Arabidopsis thaliana: one gene and its partners. The protein of the gene in region 2 interacts with the protein of the main gene of each other region in a pairwise test. Each region holds a gene or a part of one and is shown on either strand. Other genes may lie near its edges.

Region 1 (5,416 bases), on a different chromosome or scaffold from region 2:
AACTCTATCCAATTCCAACCTTGATGAGATTTTAGAGTGCTCAACCGGTAATATTATACTCTGTGGAGCATACTTTAGAGCCCGCACCCTTTCATTTCTTCTCCTTGAGGAATATGTAGCTATCTCACATAGATCTTTAGCTGCTGCACTATCACAGGCACCATTATGAGCTAGAGTGTTATGACGCAGGGCTAGCATTTGTTCAGCAGCTGAAGCATCTTCGCTGAGAAGAGTCAACTCATCTCTACCATGACTAGAACTTGACTCTATTTGAGTGTCAAGTCTTGAACCAATTAGATTTTCACAGGCCTGAGGCAGCTGTGAAGTGTTCCCAGAACTTCCAGCAGTTGTTTCTTCAGCATATTTAGGCCCACTAGCTTGGTCCTGCTGCTTCAGCTTCTCGTAACTCTCTGTGATCTCCTTGACAGCACGGACAAAATCTGAACCTTTGGCGTGCCGTCTTGTCAAAAGTGATTGCTTCTTCTCCTCAGTAAATGATTCAACATCACCATGATTGCAAAAAGCTCTGCACATACACCAGAAAATATTACTAACTGCATACCCTAAAATAAATAACATTTAACTGATCTAGAGGGAAGAGACAGTGAGCATAGTTTACTACAACCTTGGACTGATTCCTTAAAAACCAATTAAATTTGAAAAGCAGACAGTTGTGCTAAAATGCTTCGTCATAATAATTATACATCAGTATCCACTTAACCGTGGGAATGAATGAAGCAACAAAAAGAACATTCGCTAAATGCTGATGCTAATCTGCAAAGTAAATGATTAAAGAGTTTTCAGAGAATTCAACATGCAAAAGGCTTTAAGATAAATGATAACAAAAGTCACCATCCAACAGATATGGAAGCTCTACACAAAATTGCTAACGATAAGTTCAACAAAGAAGCACTATTGCGAAACATCTGGAAAGAAGAAAATCGACTCAATTATCATTAACTCAAGTGAACACAGAAGTTCAAACCAGGAATGATTCAGATTCTAAACCAAGTAAAATTAGAGCTTAGTGGTGTCTGTTAGAGAACATACATCACAGCAAATTGATCCTGCCGGAACAGGAAAGGTTAAAATCTACAGCCATAACCAAGGTACCAGCTTCTACGTCCTAATCTAGTGAGACAAGAACCGAAGTTTATCTCCTCGAATAAGAATCATAATAAAATGAATTAATCAACTCAAACGGGGACACAAAATTTAAGGACCTAAAATAAGTGTAGGATGACAAATAGGAACTCGCACTGAAAATGTAAGCATTTGGGAAGTATGACCAGAAAGCAAAACAAAATATATGAGGGTGATACTAAAGGCCTGAGAACTCACATCTGTTGAGTGCCAAAAAAGTGAACAGTTACTTTCTTCGAATCGGCTGAGTGGCCCCATTTTTCCGGTTCGTCAACCTGAAATCACTCCCAGCAATTAGCACAGGAGCAAGTGATCCAAAAAATCAAATTCAAACTGGTCTGGAAAGTGGCAAATGGGATATTATAGGGAATAATCATCATATATCCAAAACTTAGAAGATGTAAAATGGCCTATAAAGTTGCTAAACGAAAGTCTGGATCAGTGGTAATCTACTAACAACTACAACAACTAATCACGGGTATTCCTGCAATCTGCCAAAAACTAGATAAGGTCACCAACCCCTCTGAAAATATCCATATCCCTTAGGCAGTTGCTAATCCCAGAGAGGAACTTTCATCTGAATTATATACAGATGCACATACATGCAACTTCAAACCCTAAATTTATAGCTATTTCTACCGTCAACTGGAAACTAAATCATGAATCTAATAAGCAATTCTTGCAGAACCAAACAGAAAAGAGAAGAAATAGCAGAAAAAGCAAAGCCATAGATGCACATACCACGGCAGGCCAAGCAGGAAATCCTTTGACTTTGGCAAGAACGAGATCGCCAACCTTCCACTCTCGGCGAGCGGATGATGCCGCCGCAGCCCTACCACCCCCTCTCTTGCGGCTCGGAGCCATCGGAATTCAGAAGAAAAAAAAACAACGAAAATCAGAAAAGGAAAAGGTAAGGATTCTAACTCTCGAAGTTAAGCCAGAACCACAGGCGAAAATTAGCAGCTCGGCAGTGCCTAGGGTTTTCGGAGACAGATTCCGCTAAAGAACTCGCAGGCATTGAAAATTCCCAACCCAATCGACGGATGTAGGCACGCAAGACAGAAGAAAATCGGTCCCGTAAACCCTAATTGAGATGAGGGAGAGAGACAATCGAAGATTTCTGGTGGATTCTATCGCTTTTGTGGAAGAGAAACATTCACACACGAAACCCAGGAGAGGGAGAAGAAAATGAAAAGGAAGCTGCTCTCGATATGAGGAGTATGTATATTTTTGTTAATCGTTTGTTCGGTCGGTGTAGGGTTTGCCAATTTCCAAAGGCGATGTCTAACGTGCGCCTTACACGCGTAGGTTAACTTTATTTCCTTTAAAAGGTTAAAAGAGCGAATCTGACTGGTATGTACAAAACGTCGATCAGAGTTAAAAAAAAGAAAAAACAAATCCACGTGATTCAACCACTCCTCTAAGCCCATTCTATTTGAAACGGAATGTATGGGCTTTAATAAAGTCCATTCAGCCCATTATTAGCTTAACCTCGTTATCCAATCCATCAAACATTTTCGTAGTAGTTTGTAGTTGTCATGTGTTGACCACTACAAAAAGCAAAAAGCATCAGTTCCCGATCTTGAAAAACTCGACCAAGACGTTGACCACTAAAAAAATCTTCCTGTTGGACGGACCTTTTGGGAGCTTATGCTGCCTTTCATGCGACTGCTTTGTGGCTCTTCTTAGTTTGGAAGATTACTTCGTATTTGCCACGTTTCTCGACTGCAATTGAACGTGACACGTGTTCCGGGAGATATTTTTGGTTCCAGAAAAGTACGTTTCGGATTCGCGTTTCCGTCTCTCGCTCGACACGTGGCACTCCCATTCCTTAATTTTTTCCTTTAATACCAATCGAGACGTCAGTTTATACCTCCGATTCTCTGTTGCAGCGCACGCAATCACCAATGGACACGCGTCACAACTACCAATGATAGCTCGACACATTTAGCGTCGGGGAGCTCCATGGATCTTTTATTCTAGCATAAAGCCACGTGTGTTATTCTCGAGCACCGGACCAACTGATATAAATACGATAGATCACGACGCGCGTGTTTAGACCGCAAAAACTCAAATGCTTCTAGAGGGAAGATTCTCCGTCGTCCAGATGAACACGAATAGACGGCTCAAATTTAACCAACCGAGTCGATTACCCAACTCGGGTAAGTCAGGTATAGAGAATGAGCGAGTCCTGGTTCTTGTCTTCGAGTCCATTAGCTGGGACATCCACACGCTATGCACAATCGCCTCCCTCAGCCGCAGATTCTGCGCAATCGCCAGACGAATTCTGTGGCGGCGGCTCTGTGTGAACCGTGCGCCAGGGATGGTGGCGGCATTGTCCGGCGAAGATCCCAGCGGTCGAATCGACGGCGGCTGGCACGCGTTAGCGAAACTCATGTTCTTCTGCGGCGGGGGTGAGTCGACTCGGTATTTCAATCTGAGTCAACCGACGTCGGGTCACTTCGCCTGCGAGTCCAGATTCTCCAAGACATCCGGGAGATTCTTCCTGCCAAAGAATTGCCGCCGTGATCTCCTATACATGAGCGATCCGTGCGAGCATCAGGCGGTGGGTGGAGATGAGCATTTAGGGGTTTTCAGAGGGGTATTTCGGGAATTTATGAGGTCAAAGACGAGGGAGTGTCTCGTGAGAAGACAAGCGGCGCTGGAGGAGAAGGTTAGGTGTCCGTATTGCGGAGGGCGCGTGTGGAGCATGACGGCGGCGCGTCTCGTCCCGAAGAGTGCGGCGCGGCGGCTGGGATCACGTGAAGGTGGGTTAGAGTTCTTCGTGTGCGTGAACGGTCACTTGCACGGCACTTGCTGGCTGATTCCGCTTTCATCGGAGGAAGAAGACAATGGAGAAGACGACGACAACAGTGACGGAAGTGTGATCTAATCCAATGGTGGTGGCGATGTCCACGTGGAATTAGGTCTCTTGGGCCATATGCAAACCACAAGAGGAAAATCTCAGTTAGATTTCTCCTATGAGATGTGGAGCTCACTAGTAGTAGTTGCAGGCTGATTGTGGATCGTGAGAAGATCTTTCTATCTATCACCGATTTGTCTAGTTTGGGTTTAGATAATTTTGGTACACTACACACTCATAGATAATTTTGGTACACTACACACTCATAGTCATAGATCATTAGAATTTTATTGTATCTGGTTTGTTTTATTGCGAAATGTTGGCCATTAATTTGGTGAAGTATAAAAAGAAATTGAAACAATAACATTTGGTTTTATTACATCTTCCCCTCTGTTTCTATGACTATAACAATGGCGATATGTTGCAAACAGCAAATGAGTTCCATAATCCATACATAAAATTTCATATATAGTGAGGTGAGCTTGTCCTCTCAATTGGCACACCGGTTACAGTTGTTGGTGAGGTACGCCTTTTATCTGTCACCGGTTCCAAAATCTTCTTATATTACTACCAATATACGTTCTACATCTCATTTGTATTGTTTCTTACCATGTCATCAGGTTGTTAAGGACGGTGTCCGTGGTTTCAGGATTCAAAACCCCGAGAATGGACTTTTCTTTGTCTCACCTGTACCGCTCGATAAGATCATCTTTCCGTTGGAAAAGTGGTCAAGGTTGTTTCTCTTCTCAGTATGGCTATTGTCTTCCTCGAAAACTGAGATTGAAAAAGTCTAAAAGGATCTCTTTGGCAGGAGGTTCAAATATGTCTCCATAGGTTTAACTGTTGTTGGTGTGATTCTGATTTCCAAGCATGTGATTCAGTATATTGTAGAGAGAAGGCGGGGGCGATTGTTACGGAAAAGGTAATGTCATATATTAACCAAAGCCATATACTTGCAAATAGATAGTCATTCCAAATTAAGTGTTGAGCTATTTGTTGCAGAGTTGCTGATGCAGCTGCTAAGAGAGCCGAACTAGTAACTGGAGGTATTAACATGTGAATCCTTTTTCTGCATACGCTTGGAATTGATTTGCTTACAAAAATGTCTCACCAGGATTGGAAACTCAACATGAGAACAGCTCAGATAATACAAGCAGAGATGGCCATGTACTTGATCTCTGTGTGATCTGTATGCTCTTCACATTGAAACCAAAAAAAAAAAAAGAGGTATGGTTTTTACAACATTATACTAGATCTGGGTTTATTTCGCTAATAAGAAAGAATATAGGATGTATTTTGCTATTTTAGAAACGTTCAGGACTAGAAAACAAATAAAAATCATTGCACGGGCCTGGCTCAACCCATCAAAATTCAAAGTCCAATTTTTCTCTAGTTAAAATTAAATCCCTC
Region 2 (4,599 bases):
TGGAATCTCACGCAGCCTCGGTGCTCACTCCTTTTGCATTCTCCAAGCTCCAAGAACAGCTTGTGCTTGCTGCTCACTACGCATCGTTCCAGATGGATGAGGGGTATCTCGTGAGGCACCACACAAAACTCGATGGAGGAAGAAAAGTGTATTGGGTTCCTCAAGAAGGCATCATAAGCTGCAGTTGCCAACTGTTTGAGTTCTCTGGGTTTCTCTGCAGGCACGCACTCCGTGTTCTCTCCACAGGAAACTGTTTTCAGGTCCCTGATAGGTATCTTCCACTTAGGTGGCGCAGGATCAGCACGTCGTTTAGCAAGACGTTCAGAAGTAACGCTGAGGATCATGGAGAGAGAGTTCAGCTTCTGCAGAATCTGGTTTCGACTCTGGTCTCAGAATCGGCTAAATCGAAGGAGAGGCTAGATATTGCAACTGAGCAAACCTCCATCCTCTTATCCCGTATCAGAGAGCAGCCTGTCTCCTCACTTGCTATCAGAGACATTTCTTCTTCTGTGCAGAGGAATTTTTGATACCACAAATGCTATGCGTGTCTAACTATTTTTAGATAACATAATTACTTTATTAACCTAATCTTACAAGATTGTAACTCTTATCTTAACTTATGCATTGTTAAAAATATCAATCTTATATTCGTTGACAAAAAAAAGAAAGATAAGTCAACCTTAAATTCGTCGTGTTCGACGAAATAGTACCATGATGTCCAAAATTCCCATTAATAAGATTATGCATTCAAATGAGCCCGTGATTCTCACAAAGCCCAAATCCTTACCAATACGTCAACGACAACAAAGATGGTCGCACAGAGTGGGTCCTCTCGATGAGCGCTGTCATACACGCGTCGATCATTCATTTGCCACTAATTAGAATTTTGAAAATTTTCTGGAGAGAACTAAAATAGATAACCGGCCAGATAATAGAATTGATTTACGACCGGTTCTACTAGTATCTTCGTTTTCAATTGAAGAACAATAGAAGAACACACTGATTATTTTTTTTAGGCTTTTGAACAAGATCGAGAATCGAATTAGAACGCTAATAGAGCAAGAACAACATTGGTCAATCTACAAAGAATATTACTTGAGACCAAGTCGATAACGAAAAGATGAACCCATTCACGAAATCTAAGAGGGGGGAGAAGAGAAACCCTAAATTGTGCAATTCGAAACGAAATTCTGCAAACCCTAAAGTTGGATTACTCATTAAAAGTCCAAGCATTCTCCTTGCGAATCTCTTCCTCTTCTTCAGGCGTGAAATCGTTCTCGATGTTGAAAATCTCTCGTACTTCCTCTGGTGTTTTGTCCTTGATGTAATCAGCAACCGTCTGGCTAGCGAAACCGAGAAGTCCTTCGAAGTTTAGGTAGTTGGCAGCGAGAATGATTTTGAAGATGGTCTCCAGATCTAGCTTTTCCATGAACTTAGCGTCCCACGAGTCTAGATTCTTCTTCGCCTCCTCGTCTTCGTCTTCTTCACTAGGTTCATTGACGTGCATCTTCGCGTACTCGATTATCTTGGAGAGGATATCCCCGGTGACATTTTCAAGCGGAATTGCTTCACCGGCGCAGTTATCCTCCATCATGTGCACTATGATCAGAAACTTACGCGCCACCGCTTCGTCGATCTCGAAAGACTCGCCATCGGAACTCGTCAACAAAATCTTGTTAGAAGACATGGTTAGACTCGCAACCGCTTCCTCGATCTCTGATGATTCGCCGGCGGACACAATCTCTTCGGAAGAAGAAGCCATTGTTATAAGGCAAATGAGTAATCCAGAATAAACCCTTACAAGTAGGGGAGAAAAGGAAATATAATGGATCAGAATTATGGGCCTAAAGATTTCATAAAGCCCAAACAACCTATACGGCTGTACTCAACAAGTCCCACTCATCTGATTCTAGAACATTCTGAAGAGAAAACCAAAATGGGATCATATTGATTTGGAACCGGTTTGTAGAAAACCGATCAAACTAAAAAATATCTTCGTTTGCAGAGAAACGTAACTAAACATAAAAACTTGTCTTTTGCCAACATTCATATAGTATAATGTACCGTCTTGTTCTATGGTCGTGAAACACATCAAACCAATATCAAATACTTTGTTTTGTTGCCGATTTGGAAAGTTTATTGTATATCTTCTAATCTTCTAAGCTTAACATTATTTTATTTTTTGGTACAAACCAGTCCAAAACATTTATTAATACACTCAATTAACAAGGAAATGATTCGGAATAATGGGCCAAACTATTACAAAGCCCATACACACCTTTAGGGATTTGACTCGAATAAGTCCAAATTTCTGTTTATGGAGGGATTCTAGAACATTCGGAAGAGAAAAAATTGAAATTTTGCTGAACCAGTTCTAGGTTGATTGGTTTTGATAATCGATCAGGAATCCGATTGTAGAAAACCGATCCTAGTACCTAAAACTAGAGTAAAATATCAAGATGCTTCGCTAGTAAAAGACACAAAAAAAATGCCGTCTTGGATGATGATCAACCAAAAGGTTTTTCACATTAGGGTTTTAACATAAATCCATAGATTCGTTACAGAAATGAAAAAACTGGAATGACTCAACTAGAAGAAACATATCATCAATCTCAGATTTTATTTCATTTTTATTTAGAGAAAAAGAACCCTAACTCACTTGGGGGTTGACTCAGTCGTTGAAGATGGCAGTGAAGAGAATGGCAACGGATGCAAGTCCACAGAGAACAGAGAGGAAGTCGAAAGCGAAAGATGAAGGACGATTAGCTCGAGCAAAGCCGTGTGCGACCTGCAACACAACGTAGCCCACGGAGGCGAAGGCGAAAGCATTGGAAAGAGGCTTGCTTGGAGCTTTCTCGAACTTACTCATCTGGCCGTGGAGGAAGAAGGAAAGCATGCCTATCACCGCAGTCCTGGGGATTTGCTCGAAGAATCTCTTGAATGCCTCTTGGTTTCTTTTGCATTGCTCCTCCTCTTCGCTCATGTTCATTCTCTCCATCAACTGGGGAAAACAAACAATAAGTTAATCAAAAAAAACAAAACAAAAAGGAAGATATGTGATTTGAGAGAGAAGAAGAGACAAGATAACGGCGGTGAGGGAAGTCTGCAATGAACCTGAACGAATGAGAAAGCGAGTGATGTAAACAAAAACAAAATCTGCCACGTAATTGAAACCAGCTGGTTCATTTTTTTTTGTCTTGGCTACCAAAGGATAATAACCAATTTCCTTTTTAAGCTTTACCGTACGAATAAGCCGCTCTCGATCTCGTACTGTCACACCCACGTTACTCATTTTTGGTCTTCGTTCAAAATAACTGTTCTTTTAATCCAAAATCTTTGATTATATATGTATCATTATTAGTTTGGCACACACCCATTAATTAACGATTTTTTAATACATTAAGCTACATTTTCCAAATTTAATAAAACCGTGAAAGCATATGATTGATAGGGGTTTGTAACCATATTGTCATAATTTTACTGCTAATGCCATTGTGTATGCATGCGGTTTAAGCTTGCTAAAAGAAATGCAGATCAATTAACCATTATAATATTCTGTCGTTTAGCATAGGAAATTTCATCAAACTTTTTTTTTTGGCTTTTCACATGATGTTATTAATTATTTGTCGCTTTCCATAAAGAGATCATCAAAAGTTCAAAACCCATCTCAAATCTCTAAGAAAAATAAAAAGACTATAATCCATAGTCTCATTACAAGCAAATAAAACTGAAATTGGTCTTTGTGTAAACTACAATCCATAGTCCCATTTTTTCGAGTTGACGTGGCAGTGTTACTTGTATAGTTGAATTGAAAGAAAGAACCGTTTGAATTGAAAGAAAGAACCGTTTTAGCCAGTAAACCGGGTTTGAACGGTTCAATTCAATTTATCAATAATGGCGAAGAGCGAGAATACCAAAAGAACGACGGTACCGAAACAAAATCAAATCCGCGGACCAAAATTTAATATCATTATCTATTCTGACTATACCAAAACCATCCCAATTGGCTTTGGTAAGTTTATCTCAAACCGGCCTAGCCACACTAGTTCCAAACTCCACACTAAACCGAATGATTGACCTGAGTTGGTGAATCATCGATTTCCAAAATCTTGAATACTATTTTTAATTTCAATTTCAATCTAAATCATATAATATATCCTCCAGCCTTATCGTGCTATTTCCTTAAAAGAAAACCAAACGTGAGCATGTATAATAAACAAAGAAATAGTACAGGTTGTCCAAACAACAAGAAATCAAAACTCCAAACTAAAAAAATTTCATTTACAGATCATCAATTAGACGAAAGTTGTACACAAATGAATCAAGAAACACTTTACCACGACCAACAAAAATAATCAGTTTGAATAGTTTACATTTCACTAGCATTAGAGAAAGGAGAAACAAAGAAGAAGAATTTACGTATCTTTCTGTCTCAAAATTAACAACTATGGACAAAACAGAGAAGACAGAACAAAAGAAACCAAGGAAAATGTTAGATGAAACGAATAAAAGAAATTCACAAAAAAAGAAAAAGTTTTGATTTTCGTCACCGGGTTTCACTTTTATCAGGAGCAGCTCTGTTTTCAATATTTAGTTTCT
Region 3 (6,194 bases), on a different chromosome or scaffold from region 2:
TTGACAATTTACTTTGTTTAACTCTCTTGATAACATCACTTCATAGGGATTGCTAACAGACTGTTTTATTTTTCAATGTTACAGCATCTGAATAATCTTCCATTTCGTTTTAAAAAAAACAGAGATTTTGATTTCTTCAGTCATCTGTTCTTGAGAGATCGCCTTGGTGGTGGTGATGAGTCTCTGAAATAGCCAACCATATACATTTAGACAACTGCCATTAGAATTCCACAAGGACAACCTATGACTGCAGCTTTCCATGAAAACATTGCTTCTCTGGCTGCTTGGTCTGTGTCGAGCATGGTTCTTGGATTTGCATTCCACATATTTTGTTGTTGTTTGCGTAAATGTTCGGATCGTTCAATCTGTCTAGCTGAGGACTCTCATGGATTCTACCTATAAGTTTGTTGTTGCTCAACTCCATACATTCAGCTCACTGAGCTTGGATAGTTTCTGCGGGATTTCGCCTGAGAGGTTATTGTGTGAAAGGTCTACCTTCTCAAGATTTCCAAAACTTTGTGGGATCAATCCAGAGATGTCGTTGTATGAGAGGTTTAAAAGCTTTAAGCTTTTGAGATTGCCTAAAGAATATGGGATTTCTCCGAATAGCTTGTTATGGAGAGGTCTATCAGAGTGTAGAGGCAGACGTTATTGTTGGCAAGACCTTGCTTTGAATTCTTCCAGTTCACTGCTAAGTTATGTATTACGATAGTGAAGCTGTATATGAAACGCAAAAGCGAAGATGAACTTACGAGAGATTCTTTCATGCCTGTATCCCAGGAGATGAAGGGAGAGATCCATCAAGATTGTTCTCAGAGAGATCCAAGACCTTGAGACTTGTGATATTTGATATGCCTTGCTTCTGTTCCTTAGGCCAAAATTTGTTCGATTCCGCAACTTCTTTTGTCCTAGGTTTGTCACCTCTGACTGATTCTTTGTTTATCTTAGGTACGTGGATCTCAAGGCATGCATAACTAGAATTGAAGAAAATGGATATGGAGCAAATCTTGCTCCTTGGCTCAGCTCCCCACCGGATAGGCTGCAGACAATGCAAATTGATTCTTACATAGCCCGAAAAGAACTCTCTGTTGCTGAATCAAAAGTACTGGAAAGAAATAATATCAAACTGTGTACATGAGAGCTGGATTTGGCGGGTACTGTTTCTCAAGGCAATGCTCGCTCACTAGACCGTTTTTCCGAGGTTAGCCAGTAGATTGGAAATGGTAAAACGTAAAAACAATTTCACAACTTAAAATCAATTTAACAGAATTCGATTATTTCAGTAAGAAAAACAAACAAGAGATTTTCATCTAGTGTACTACTTAAATGTAAAATGACTTAAGTCACTCTGAATCGTTTTCTTCTTGAGCTGAGCACAATGGAGACATCGTTGTTGCGAGGAAGCATTGGAACCATCTGACGCAACTCTACAAAACGTCTTCCTTTGATATAACCTTCCAACCTTGCGACAATCAACTCTAATGTTGATATGGTTTTAAGCACAAGTTGCAGAAACGAAGCCACTTGCTTTGACTCTACATTCCTGCGGGAAGTGTTCTTAAACTCCGAGCTCCAGGATGGATCCCAATTCAAGCCATGAGAATCCAAGTATATGTCAATATGCTCTTCCTGTAATGCAAGTATATTTCAATATGATGATTCAAAATTCGGGGTCAAGGAATATTCATAATTACCGGTATGGGATATGAGCCGGCAGACCCCATTGGGTGTATGGTTAGCTTCTTCAAGTCAGGCGAGTTTTGTAGCACCTTTACTATACCATGAATAACATATCGAGAGATCATTGTCTCAAGTATCAGAGCTTTAGCCTTCAACTTTGGAAAAGAAACACCACGGAGCTCGGCAAGAGATAACATCTATAACAAACAAAAAAAAACAGAAGACAAATGAGTGTATACCAAAAAACACACTAGTTTTCTTGAAAATCAGAGCCTAATTATGTAAACTAAATCAGGAGTGAAAACATATACCTTAAGAAAGTTTGCCCCCAAAGTAAGCTTCTCCACATTCTGACACTTTTCTAACATCTTTACCACCATGGTCTGATGAAAATCAGCCTCCAGTTTATTATCAACTATTGCGTAAGCGGTAATGTCTAGTTCAGCTTGGGATAAAGAGGAGACATCAACTAAAGCACATGGTTTCTCAGAGTTTATCAATCTGAGACAACGGATATGTGGTGCAACGAGCTGTGTTGGCTCCATTCGACATCTACGAGTGATTTCTAATGTTATCAGACGCGGTGATTTGCTGAGATCAAGGACCTTCAGTTTCTTGCAGAAAAACAACAATAAGCTTTCGAGAATGGGACAACCAGATAGAATAATAGCAATGGATTCATCAGAGATGTTGCAATGATACAATGACAGGTTCTTCAGGGATGTCCAAGACACAGAACATTTGGGATTCAGAGATATAAAATCCTTTTTGCAGCCGAAATCAAGGTAGAGTTGCTTGAGAGAGGAATTGATGTAAAGGAATTCAGGGATATCATATTTATCCTCATCGAGATACAGGGACAGATTCTCCACGTTTCGGGACATGGCGAAGTTGATCCAACTGTCGATGTCAGCATGCGTGTCGGGTCTGCTGATACAGGCTGCCCTGCAACAAGAACAGATACGAAAACTCATCATCTTGGGAGCCCTGTAGCGATCTAGGATTCTGTTAATACAAGGAGCATCCGGTCTGTCCCTATGGAAGGAGAGGGACCATGTATCAGACCATACATGCCTCCATCGCCTGGATAAAACGGAAGTTTTGATCGCCAATCTGGTTGGAAGATAGGAGAGAATTAGTTGGAGAATATCATCAGGCAACCTACTGATCAAGTCTCCAGCTTCTTTGAGATAGCTAGGGCTTGCGCATGTACTCTGCAATTTGTATAAATATCGCATCACCCACATAAGAGAAAAAGGATTGGATATTTGGATTATAGAGAGATATTACCTTAGAGGAAGAGAAAACAGTAGACGAAGCATCGGGTCTGGTCGAGTTTTCCTGACTTTCCTTCTCCATCTTTTCGGTTTCCGAGTTCACCTTTTCTTCTTGTATAAACTTTTAGATCTATTGACATCTATAATAAATTTTCGAAGATCACAATCTAAAAATGATATTTACCAATTTGTATATAATGATGATAAAAGGAAGGAAATATAGGGGAAATGAGTAAAGGAGAAGAAGGAGAAAGCAGTTACCAAAAATTAAATTACTGCCGGCACATATCTGCAGAGAAGGAAAGAATGAACAGTGATCAGCCTTGTGACAGCTTTGGCAGGAGTGTTGTCTGTGAGTTTCTGGCAGCAAGTGAATCCCCAAAAGCTTTTCATTAGTCTTCAATATACGCATCACATAACTTTCTTTTCGGTTTTTCTTTTCTAGGAACTCAAGTCCACTGGGCTCAAAAGCCTGTTGGATTACTATATACAGTAGTCCGATTTATCTCGTAGCTGCATCTGAAAACCTCTTGAGCGCAAAGAAACTAAATAGCAAAAGCCAAGGGAAGGCATGTACTGCACTAGATACATCACAAGCAGTACTGGCTGATAAATAGCAAAAAGAAGATCGTATATCAGCATCTAAACTGAGTGAAACATATGCGATTTTGACAAACAAGTACCTGATATGAAATCCAAGCTTCCTTCAAGCTATGAGACGCGGCGATTATAGTCAGTTCTGCATATCATTCAGATGACACACGCTTCTGTGTAGCAAAAGAAAAGATCTTTGAGTGGAAATAAAAAGAGAAAGAAGCCGGAGATAGAAGATCCTAATGTTGAAAAGGAAGAGGATTCTATGTGTCTACAAGACTGATTAGTTGCTTAAAGGAAAGGTACAAGTACAAAAAACTGACAACTTAATCAACAAATCACAATCAGTTAACCAACCTCATGAGACTTCTTGTCTTCCGAAGTTGATGTTCCTGTACCATTCAACGTTTCTATTGGACCAGGAATAACGACGGTCACTTTGATTCCCTCCTGACAGAACTGAAACCATAGGCAGATTGTGAACCAACTGTGAATTGTTACTTTATGGTGCTATTCTCAGCAATTAGTGAAAAGGAATGTAAAAGAAAAAATCAAATCAGAAAACTCTGAGGTAGCTGTGAGTTTTCTATTGTGACTTTCAATAAGTCATTAGCTGCCAAATAATTAGCAAGCACCACAGTTTCTTTAACTTTTAACATACCTCAGAACGCAAGCTGTGGAAGTAGCCGTGCAGAGCATGTTTTGAAGCAGAATATATAGCCTGTCCAGGTGATGGTACCTTTCCTGCAGCACTGCTTATCTATAGACTGACGTGAATTATTAATCATGACATTTAACCCAAGGAAATGGAAAATTAACACATACAAGAATAGCTAACCGTAGTTTGACTTCTCAAGATGTGTATACGGTAACATGATTTGGAATTTAGCAAGCAGAAGACAAAAATACAAAAGAAACCTTAAACTATCTATACATAGCTTAAAAGCCTTAGATTTAACATATAAAAAACGCAATGTATATCCATATCCATAAACTATGATATGAAGCTCAATCCTTCAACAAATCCACAAAATTAGGGCACTTAACAAAAACTATCCCTCGTTAGTCTCCACGTACCACAACAAAATGACCGCCTCCTTGTTTTAGCATATGAGGAGTGACCAACTTTATAAGAGTTATCGTCCCAAAGACATTGATATCGAATGTAGTCTGCACACAAAGTCATTGAATAATCATATGTCACCAAGCAAACCATTGTATGGCCTACGGATTTTATGCAATTAATTTAGTACATTGATAGTTTCCTCACTTGCATCCGATGCCTTGGATTTCTGCAAGAAAAAAAATATGATGATGAAACGACATAAAACTAAGGTACAGAGCATTTAAGGCAAAACCAACACAAATCTCAACCGTTCAAGGCTAAGACAAACCTAATGAAGAAACCTGACAAAAGCGTAGCCAGCAAATAGATTTGTATGAGGATGTTTTGATGGAGAAGGAACTTATAAGGATGCAGAGCTAATGCAATAAACTATTTCAAGATCAATGACGATTCTGATCACAATGCTGAGAAAAAACTAGAGAGTCAGTTTTAACAAGCATTTTGCAGAAGAAGGGAACTTACAAGAATGTTGAGCTTGCCACTGAATCAACTTATCCCTCTGATCTCTAACCGAACCAGACACCACTAAACCACTGGATTTGCAATCATTTAAGCATGCTTTTAGCTCTTCCTGTCTTGTAGTGTAGGAGGCTGCAGGAAGGCAAAGAAAAGCAACCAGTGACGCGATTTCCTCCGGTGCTGGTAATCTTAACTATGTTAACATATAACAGATCTTGCCTAATAGATGGAAAACTTACATGAGATCAACAAGCATCACTATATGGTTCAACAAAAAACCGTAAGCCTTCACATTACATGTATGGAATAGACAGATAGCTGATCATTCGAGGCAAAACCACCAAAAGTCTAAACCATTCAATCCTAAGACCAAACATATATAGAAACCTGATAAAAGTGTGGCAGAATGGTTCGAAGATTGTTCTATCGGATAAGAAACTTGCAAGGATACGAGCTAATGTGATATGTAGAATTTCAAGATTGGTGAAGATTCCAATGTGTAGAAAATTCAATAAAAAAAGCATAGAAAACAACAAATGTCTTTAGCATGAGAAGGGAACTTACAAGGATGTTGAGCTTGCCGCTGAAAGCAGAAGAAACTTCCTGAGTCAACTTATTCCTCTGATCCCTAACCATTTATGTGCAACTCCATAGTCAAACACAGACAAAATCTTCCAAGTGATCCTCATCAACCATTTGCTTTCAGATTTTGATTTTGGTGACAGGAATCGATTTGAGAAATAACCCCAAAACCTGAAATAGAATCAATTGTATCTAAAATGGGATTGAGAGACGTCAAAATTGTTTTGAATAGAATGAATTGTACCTAAAAACAACAACTTTCATCAGATTGAGAGAAGAAGACGAAAAACTAATATGGAGCTAGCAACATGTATACTATTTCACTTTTTTTAGAGTTTTTCAACCAATCAGAAGGCTGTATTTCACCCCCACTCTCACAAAGTGAGCGTTGAGCGCGTGAGAGCACTTCTGTGGGTGTACCCCTTTGGAAATCATGCCTTTTTTAATCTACGCACTCCTCTCTGAAATCCCCATCG
Region 4 (6,516 bases), on a different chromosome or scaffold from region 2:
GGCTCAACGAGACCAAAGTGATGACTGATTGTCTGTCTTCTTATCTTTCTATGAACCGGTTTATGACTTGGTTCGGTTTGATTCGTATTGATGAACCACCAATATTCCTCCGGTTTTCTCTCGTGACATTTTTTACCTAGTAGCTTTGAGCTGCTGGTACAAAATTTTGAATTTCATCTAGGAGGCTAGGAGTCAGATTTGTACGTGTAAAAATTAGTTTGAATTTATTTGTTTTGTTCATAATTATTTTACGAAAAACCCGTGAAAAACAAATCTTTCAAAACTATTTTTAGAACGTTGAAATTCTGGGCTTTAATTCTTGAGAATAGAGGTGGGTTTTAAAGTATTCCATATTCGTTTGAGAGAACTAGTGGGCACTATATGTGTTGTGTGGTCAATTTTTTGGTTTTAAAGAGTTTTAACTTCCCCCATTGACAACTTAACTCGTTAATGCTTGTTACTATTTCATTTTGGAAAGCCAACGCTTAAATTAAAAAAGAAAAAACAATACTAATGATGTTAAAATCGTATTTGTCTTCTAATGGTTGAAAACTTTACTACCGAAATTTGAGAGACTAGTGTTCGAATCTGCTTACTATGATTCTGATCATGATTTATCATTATAAATGCTTTTAATAACAAAAATATGTGTTGCTAGTTTGGTATATTTAGTTAGGTTTTAGCTGATTTGATGTGTCAGAGTAATTGTCTAAATTTTCTTTTCCTTTTGACATTTTGGCATAATGACACAAATTAATTTTGTTTTTAGTATGTAGAATCTATATATCACTTCGTCAACTTTTATACGATTATAACTAATGAATGACATTTTGTTATATTTTAAAATTTAGTAAATTATTATAGCTATGAAAATTGAAAATAAGTGACCCTTGAGAAAATGATAAAATACACAATAAAATAGCTGTTGTCCATTACCCGTAAACCTAACACTGCCAAACCTGACAAATCCCATCACGAAAATAGGTCCCAATTTTATACAAGTACAGAAACATAATTCTTTAAAATAATTTACAACAATAATTAATTAATAAAACATGAAAAATCATTATGAATATATGTGGAAAAAAAAGGAACAAAATCATTATTTTTATCCACCAGGAACAGCAACAAGACAACCTCCAGTTTCAGAATCCGACCCATTTACATGAGATATTGTGGGCCACATGTTGAAAAATGTTCTTATATTTCACTGAGAGATAGAGAAGGGTTCGTTTGTTCAAATAAAAGTATCTGGGCCTCATTTTATAAATTTATAATTAACAGAGTACCAAATTGCAAATAACAATATTCCTGAAAAACATTTCCAGTAACTAAAATTTAAAAACATTACCGTATCATCATCTTCATAAAGCCGCCGGCGATTTCTCTGTGCAAAAACAATCCAAAAGACCAAGACTTTCACAGACCCATTTGCTTCTTCATTGCAACTAAGGAGCAATCTCGAGTCTTGGTTCGAAGCAAAACCCAGTAAAGAGCTGAAGAGGGAACTTTTTAGTAACAGGACATTTCTGAGACCATCTCCAATACTTGAGATTCATGTCGAACGTGAGAAGCGCGGGAGATCCATAGCTTTGAATGTAAACCAAATCATCCGTGCCACTACTCGCGAAAACCTCGTCGAATTCACCAAAACCTTGGAAGAATCTTTGAGGCATTTTCGCCATCTCTACCCATTCCTTCCCTTTCAAAACCCAAATCCCTATCCCTTTTATAACCTCTGGTCGATCATGTTTCCCGATTCCTCCGACAATCACAAGCCTCTCTCTTAGATTCATCAATCTCCCGCAGGTTAAAGAACACGGCATTGGAATGAAACTCCTCATCAAGATTCCGCTTGACGGTGATCCTATCGAGGATAGATTCGAAGCGATCAAGCCGTGGCGATGATCTGAGCCTCCCGTTGAGTATATCATGAAGTAAAGAACATTGTTGCAGATCACACTCTCGTTCCCTCCTCTCCATCCGGATAAGACATCGTTTACTAATGTTGTCCAAGTCATTGTTTCAGAGCTGTAGAGATGAATAGAGAGATCCCATTGGAAGAAATTCCCTGGAACTTGCTTCGATTTCACTATCGAGACTGAGTAACTCCGGTTTGCGCGGTTTACTGCTTGGTTCGCTCGGTTTACGGAGGTAGACATTGCCGTGTAATCTGTCGATTTGTGACCAGGAGGTTCAATAAGCGTCCTCCATTGTTTGGTAATTGGATTTGAGACATAAATCTTGTTTCTGCAATCATTGTCCATGAAGCAAACCAATCCACAAGAGGAAGCAACAAACCAATTGGATGTTTCGATACAAGGGAGATCGAAACTGTACCATTTGCGGATAATGGGGTCATAAGCATAACCAGATGGATCATCCGTGGTAGTGAACATGAAGTACCAAGGCCTTTGGGAAACCGAATTGTTGGAGAAATTACATAAGAACCTCCGAGAAGATACAATCTCGTTCCATCTTTTGCAGACAGTACCAGCTCTGAAGATGCTTGCAATGGGTAGAAACGAGAGGATTCGTTCTAATAAATCGTCAGGGAGAAGAGAATCCATTGAAAAGGTTTCGACTTTGGCTTCATCGTCGCTCTGCTCACGGTATGATTCAGCTTCAGGGACATATGTAATGTAGCTGTACGGATAATTGGTCCAAGACGTTTCTGCTTCCATTCTCAAGAGCCTCTGAAACAACGATACAAAAAATAAATAAATCCATTACCAAGAAAAGAACACATAAAGATTTAAAGCTTTACGAATCTGAATCCCAAATATCATTCATTTCAACAACACAAAACAACAATACATAAATCAAGAGAAAACCTTGTCAATCAGATTTGCTTTAGCATACATGCATAATGGTAAATCGAAAATGCAGAAGACGAAGAAGAGAGATAGTATTAAGACTTTGTCTAACATTGCAATACATTTTTCAGACAAAAGAAAAACAAAAAGGAGAAAGCTTGTGTCATCCTTTCAACGTCAAGATTCCACTGATGACAATTAATACAACAAAATTTAGATGTTAGGTATACAAAAAAAAAACGTTCTTAATAATGAAATTAGACTATAGGCAGACATCAATCAAACATCTGATAACAACATACATCATCAATCATAGATTACGAACACGGAAGAGATCAATGAACCACTCAGAAATGAAAGCAGAGAAAGCGACAGTGAAATCAAACAGAAACCCATCTCGATTCGCTACACACCTTCGACTATGGAGACTCTGAATCTTCGGAATTCTCGAGATTCAAACCGATAAAAAAAAAAAAAAAGTATCGAAATTTAGAATAGATTAGCGAGAGGAAATGCGGGTTTCGTGGATCTCGGTTTATCGAAAAGAAGAGGTCTTTCTAGAAACAGAAGAAGGAAATGAAATGGGTTTCTCGGGAATTTGGATTTATCAAGAGTAAGAATGAAGTAAAAGGGTTCATCAAAGAAAACGAGAGCGAGAGCGAGAGAGATTGAGATTGAGAAAAATCTGGTTTTTATAGAGAAGAAGAGACGTTTCGTGGTTCGATTGTAAATAAACACGAATGAATGATACAGACAGATAGAGAGACGAAAGGGAAAGACAAAAAAGAGAAGAGAGAGCAAGCGCGAGGATGAGAGAAGAGTAGACGTTTTTGCTGTTTTTCTTCCTCTTCTTCTTTTTTTTGTCATTTTTATTTCCGAAATGGGGTTTGAATAAATAAAATGATTAAAGTTGAGGCGCGTGTTAGCGCGTGTTATTTCCTTAATTTTTACTATGTGAGTATTAAATATACAATAATTTAATTATTTGCAAAAGAAAGAAAAAACAAAAATTAGAACTTGCAAACACAAAAAACAATGAAATATCATAACACCAATAATAATGCTGTCTTACTCATAAACCAACCAATTAAATGATTTTTTAAACCCGGCGTTATTAATATTGTACCTAGACTAAATATGATTATTTCAGTTTTATTTTATTTAACCAACATATCGGATTACTAATATAAGAAGTTTTATATATTTTTTAGCAGTATATTATATATTGTTATAAATTTAGGAGGGCGAAAGATAACAATTATACATTAGTAAATTAAAAAGTTACTTAATTTGGTATTTACTCTGGCAACCAGAGGGGTTAGCTGAAAATGACATACCACATGAGGTAACCTTTTTGTCATTTTTTGTTTATATTTATTTTAGAAAGATTGTCTTCTAATTATTTGATATTTGAATAAATAAATGATCATTTTTAAAAATTATAATTTACCTTTAGTAATTATACTTTGCTTTTGAAACACTGAAAGGTCTGTCTCTCTACTTTCCTTAGCCTAGACTTCTCGCAGTTTCTCAGTGGCCTGTCCTTTACCTAATACACTCACTCTACAAATTCAAAATTAAAAATCAACGCAAATTATCTCAAGTGTATTATTTTTAGTTTTTCGTCATGTGCACTAACTACATTTAACGTGTAAAGCTATATACTGATCTCAGCTCCATATGCATTACTTTCTTTCTTCTTTCGATCATATGCCCTTACCCTTTATGGTTTATATAGCTAGCTACTCCCATATTTATATATTCCATTATATTACAAGTGTGCGATTAGTTGCTGGCTCATTAAACTATATGATCACATTGCTCCTTAGTGCCTTTTTTTAGAACAAAATTGGTTCTGTTGTCTATGTTTTTTAAGATCTGAATTCAATTGTTAATTATTTATGTGGTGGTTCTATGAAAATATAAATCACTTTTACGATCCGTTGCATTTTAGTGTAGCAAGACTGAAATTGTTCTCATGGACGATTGATCATGTTTACGTATATCTTCAGTTAAATGGAACATGCATGATCAATTGGCCACTAATCTCAATCTAGTTTGAGAACATAAACTTTTATGGTATTATACGCGTTTTCATGGGCATTGGAAACTGAATTTGTTTCGAAACTGTATACATTGCTAAACTGTAAAAGTGTGAATCATGTACCTAAATTTTTAATTAGAGAATGCGGTTAAGGCGAAACGAAATTAAAAAGAGAATGAAATATCCAAAAGAATATACCATATAACTTTTTTATTTTTATTTTTTGAAATCCAAGAAGTTTTGGGCCGAAGCCCGTAATCCCCTCAGGCCCGAAACCACAGCATGTAATATTAGTTTCGTCCCAAACATCACACGAACCGGCGACCTCTAAGCTTCGCCTAAGGTCTTTACCAATTGAGCTAACGACAATTGGTTATACCATATAACTTTTGATTATCATAAATCCATAATCAAAGCATATACCAAATTAGACTATGTAGTAATAAGCAGTATAGTGACGCACTGCCTTAACTATTTATTTAAAGGAGTTGAACGTAAACAAATTCCAAAATGCTATGTTGTCATAGGGATCGGCGGATCTACACGTATCCGTCACTATGTGAAAATCCATAATGGCAAAAGAAAAACGTGTCCAGTGCAAAATATTAAATTCAAAATGTTTTCATTCTTACATAAGCACATGTATTTGTACCGGCAGAAGTTTAACGTTAGTTTTGTGGAAGTATTACTGCAGATAGGTAAAGGTGTAACTGTGAAAAAACTTTCAAATCTAGCTAGAAACCCTATAGTTGTCGTTAAATTTCGAAAAAATGTGAAGGTTTTGAAGACTTTGTTAGGATTGGATCCTTCTTTACACAATAAATTAAAGGAATGAATCAAACGACATGTACAATTTATTTTGGTTCCTCTTGGCACGATATAGAATTATCTATAGTCAGATTATGGATACGTTCTAATATCCATTGCTGCGAATTTTATAAATACTAAAATTTCAGCAACTATATTTTTGTTTCTCTTTTCTTCACTCGTAAACAAATAAAACGCAACGATAATAATGAAAACAAACTCTAATAAGATTTGTTTTTGCAACTTCTTTTTGGGTACCTTCTTGCATCGTTTATGAAAAGCATCTAACTAATAACTTTTAAAATAATAAAAAAACTTTAACTAACCTAGAGAGTAGAAGCTGTAGTCAAATCGTGTTTCGTGTATCTATATATGAGTTAAGAGTGTGAAAACAACACTTTTTCTTCTTAAAAGAACATGATTACGATGTGAAGATTGTGGGAAGATCTAGCAAGATCAATATGCACTAATCAATTTGGCCCATTTGGTGGTCCGTGTAAAGACACAGAAAAACAATAAACAAAGAAAGGATAAAAATGTATATAGAACATAGTGGCAAATACTAATTTGTCACTTGGGGGTGTTATGGACCAGGCCTTGATCTTTCTGCCAAAGGCACCTTTGTGCACATTAAGTCACTTCTCACTTCTCATTCTTTACACTATGGAGCAAACACACTCACACATGCACACATTCATTTTTAAAAAATAACTAGTAAATTTCTTTTCTGAATTCTAAACCATTTTAAAATCCTTCATCCAGACTTCATATCAGAATACAGCTGAAAAATAGAAAAGATTTTGGAGAAACGTATCAAAAGACAATGAAAACTAGTTATAAGCTTTGACC

What was found.
Region 1: the proteins of SK18 (region 2) and EDL3 interact in a two-hybrid assay, tested with the Arabidopsis thaliana proteins (2 studies listed by BioGRID, with this or other methods).
Region 3: the proteins of SK18 (region 2) and AT3G03360 interact in a protein complementation assay, tested with the Arabidopsis thaliana proteins (one study listed by BioGRID).
Region 4: the proteins of SK18 (region 2) and HWS interact in a two-hybrid assay, tested with the Arabidopsis thaliana proteins (2 studies listed by BioGRID).

What each region holds. Positions count from the first base shown.
Region 1 is NC_003074.8:23,299,258-23,304,673, reverse strand, and holds EDL3 (EID1-like 3), read left to right. Parts: upstream 1-2,808; 5' UTR 2,809-3,217; coding exon 3,218-4,036; 3' UTR 4,037-4,384; downstream 4,385-5,416. Other genes in the region: AT3G63070 (Tudor/PWWP/MBT domain-containing protein), read right to left, coding at 1-526, 1,342-1,418, 1,885-2,007.
Region 2 is NC_003070.9:3,352,763-3,357,361, reverse strand, and holds SK18 (E3 ubiquitin ligase SCF complex subunit SKP1/ASK1 family protein), read right to left. Parts: upstream 1,688-4,599; coding exon 1,211-1,687; downstream 1-1,210. Other genes in the region: FRS11 (FAR1-related sequence 11), read left to right, coding at 1-527; AT1G10225 (transmembrane protein), read right to left, coding at 2,672-2,998; AT1G10220 (ZCF37), read right to left, coding at 4,547-4,599. UniProt on the Arabidopsis thaliana protein: Involved in ubiquitination and subsequent proteasomal degradation of target proteins. Together with CUL1, RBX1 and a F-box protein, it forms a SCF E3 ubiquitin ligase complex. The functional specificity of this complex depends on the type of F-box protein.
Region 3 is NC_003074.8:792,063-798,256, reverse strand, and holds AT3G03360 (F-box/RNI-like superfamily protein), read right to left. Parts: upstream 3,352-6,194; 5' UTR 3,219-3,351; intron 3,098-3,218; 5' UTR 2,971-3,097; intron 2,895-2,970; 5' UTR 2,753-2,894; coding exon 2,751-2,752; intron 2,626-2,750; coding exon 1,992-2,625; intron 1,878-1,991; coding exon 1,695-1,877; intron 1,630-1,694; coding exon 1,339-1,629; 3' UTR 1,244-1,338; downstream 1-1,243. Other genes in the region: AT3G03370 (uncharacterized protein), read left to right, coding at 374-552, 663-834; AT3G03350 (NAD(P)-binding Rossmann-fold superfamily protein), read right to left, coding at 3,704-3,724, 3,909-4,010, 4,213-4,311, 4,629-4,721, 4,805-4,881, 5,140-5,329, 5,524-5,559, 5,701-5,764.
Region 4 is NC_003074.8:22,789,082-22,795,597, reverse strand, and holds HWS (Galactose oxidase/kelch repeat superfamily protein), read right to left. Parts: upstream 3,487-6,516; 5' UTR 3,131-3,486; coding exon of another isoform or gene 3,119-3,130; 5' UTR 2,931-3,118; coding exon 2,835-2,930; intron 2,697-2,834; coding exon 1,449-2,696; 3' UTR 1,257-1,448; downstream 1-1,256.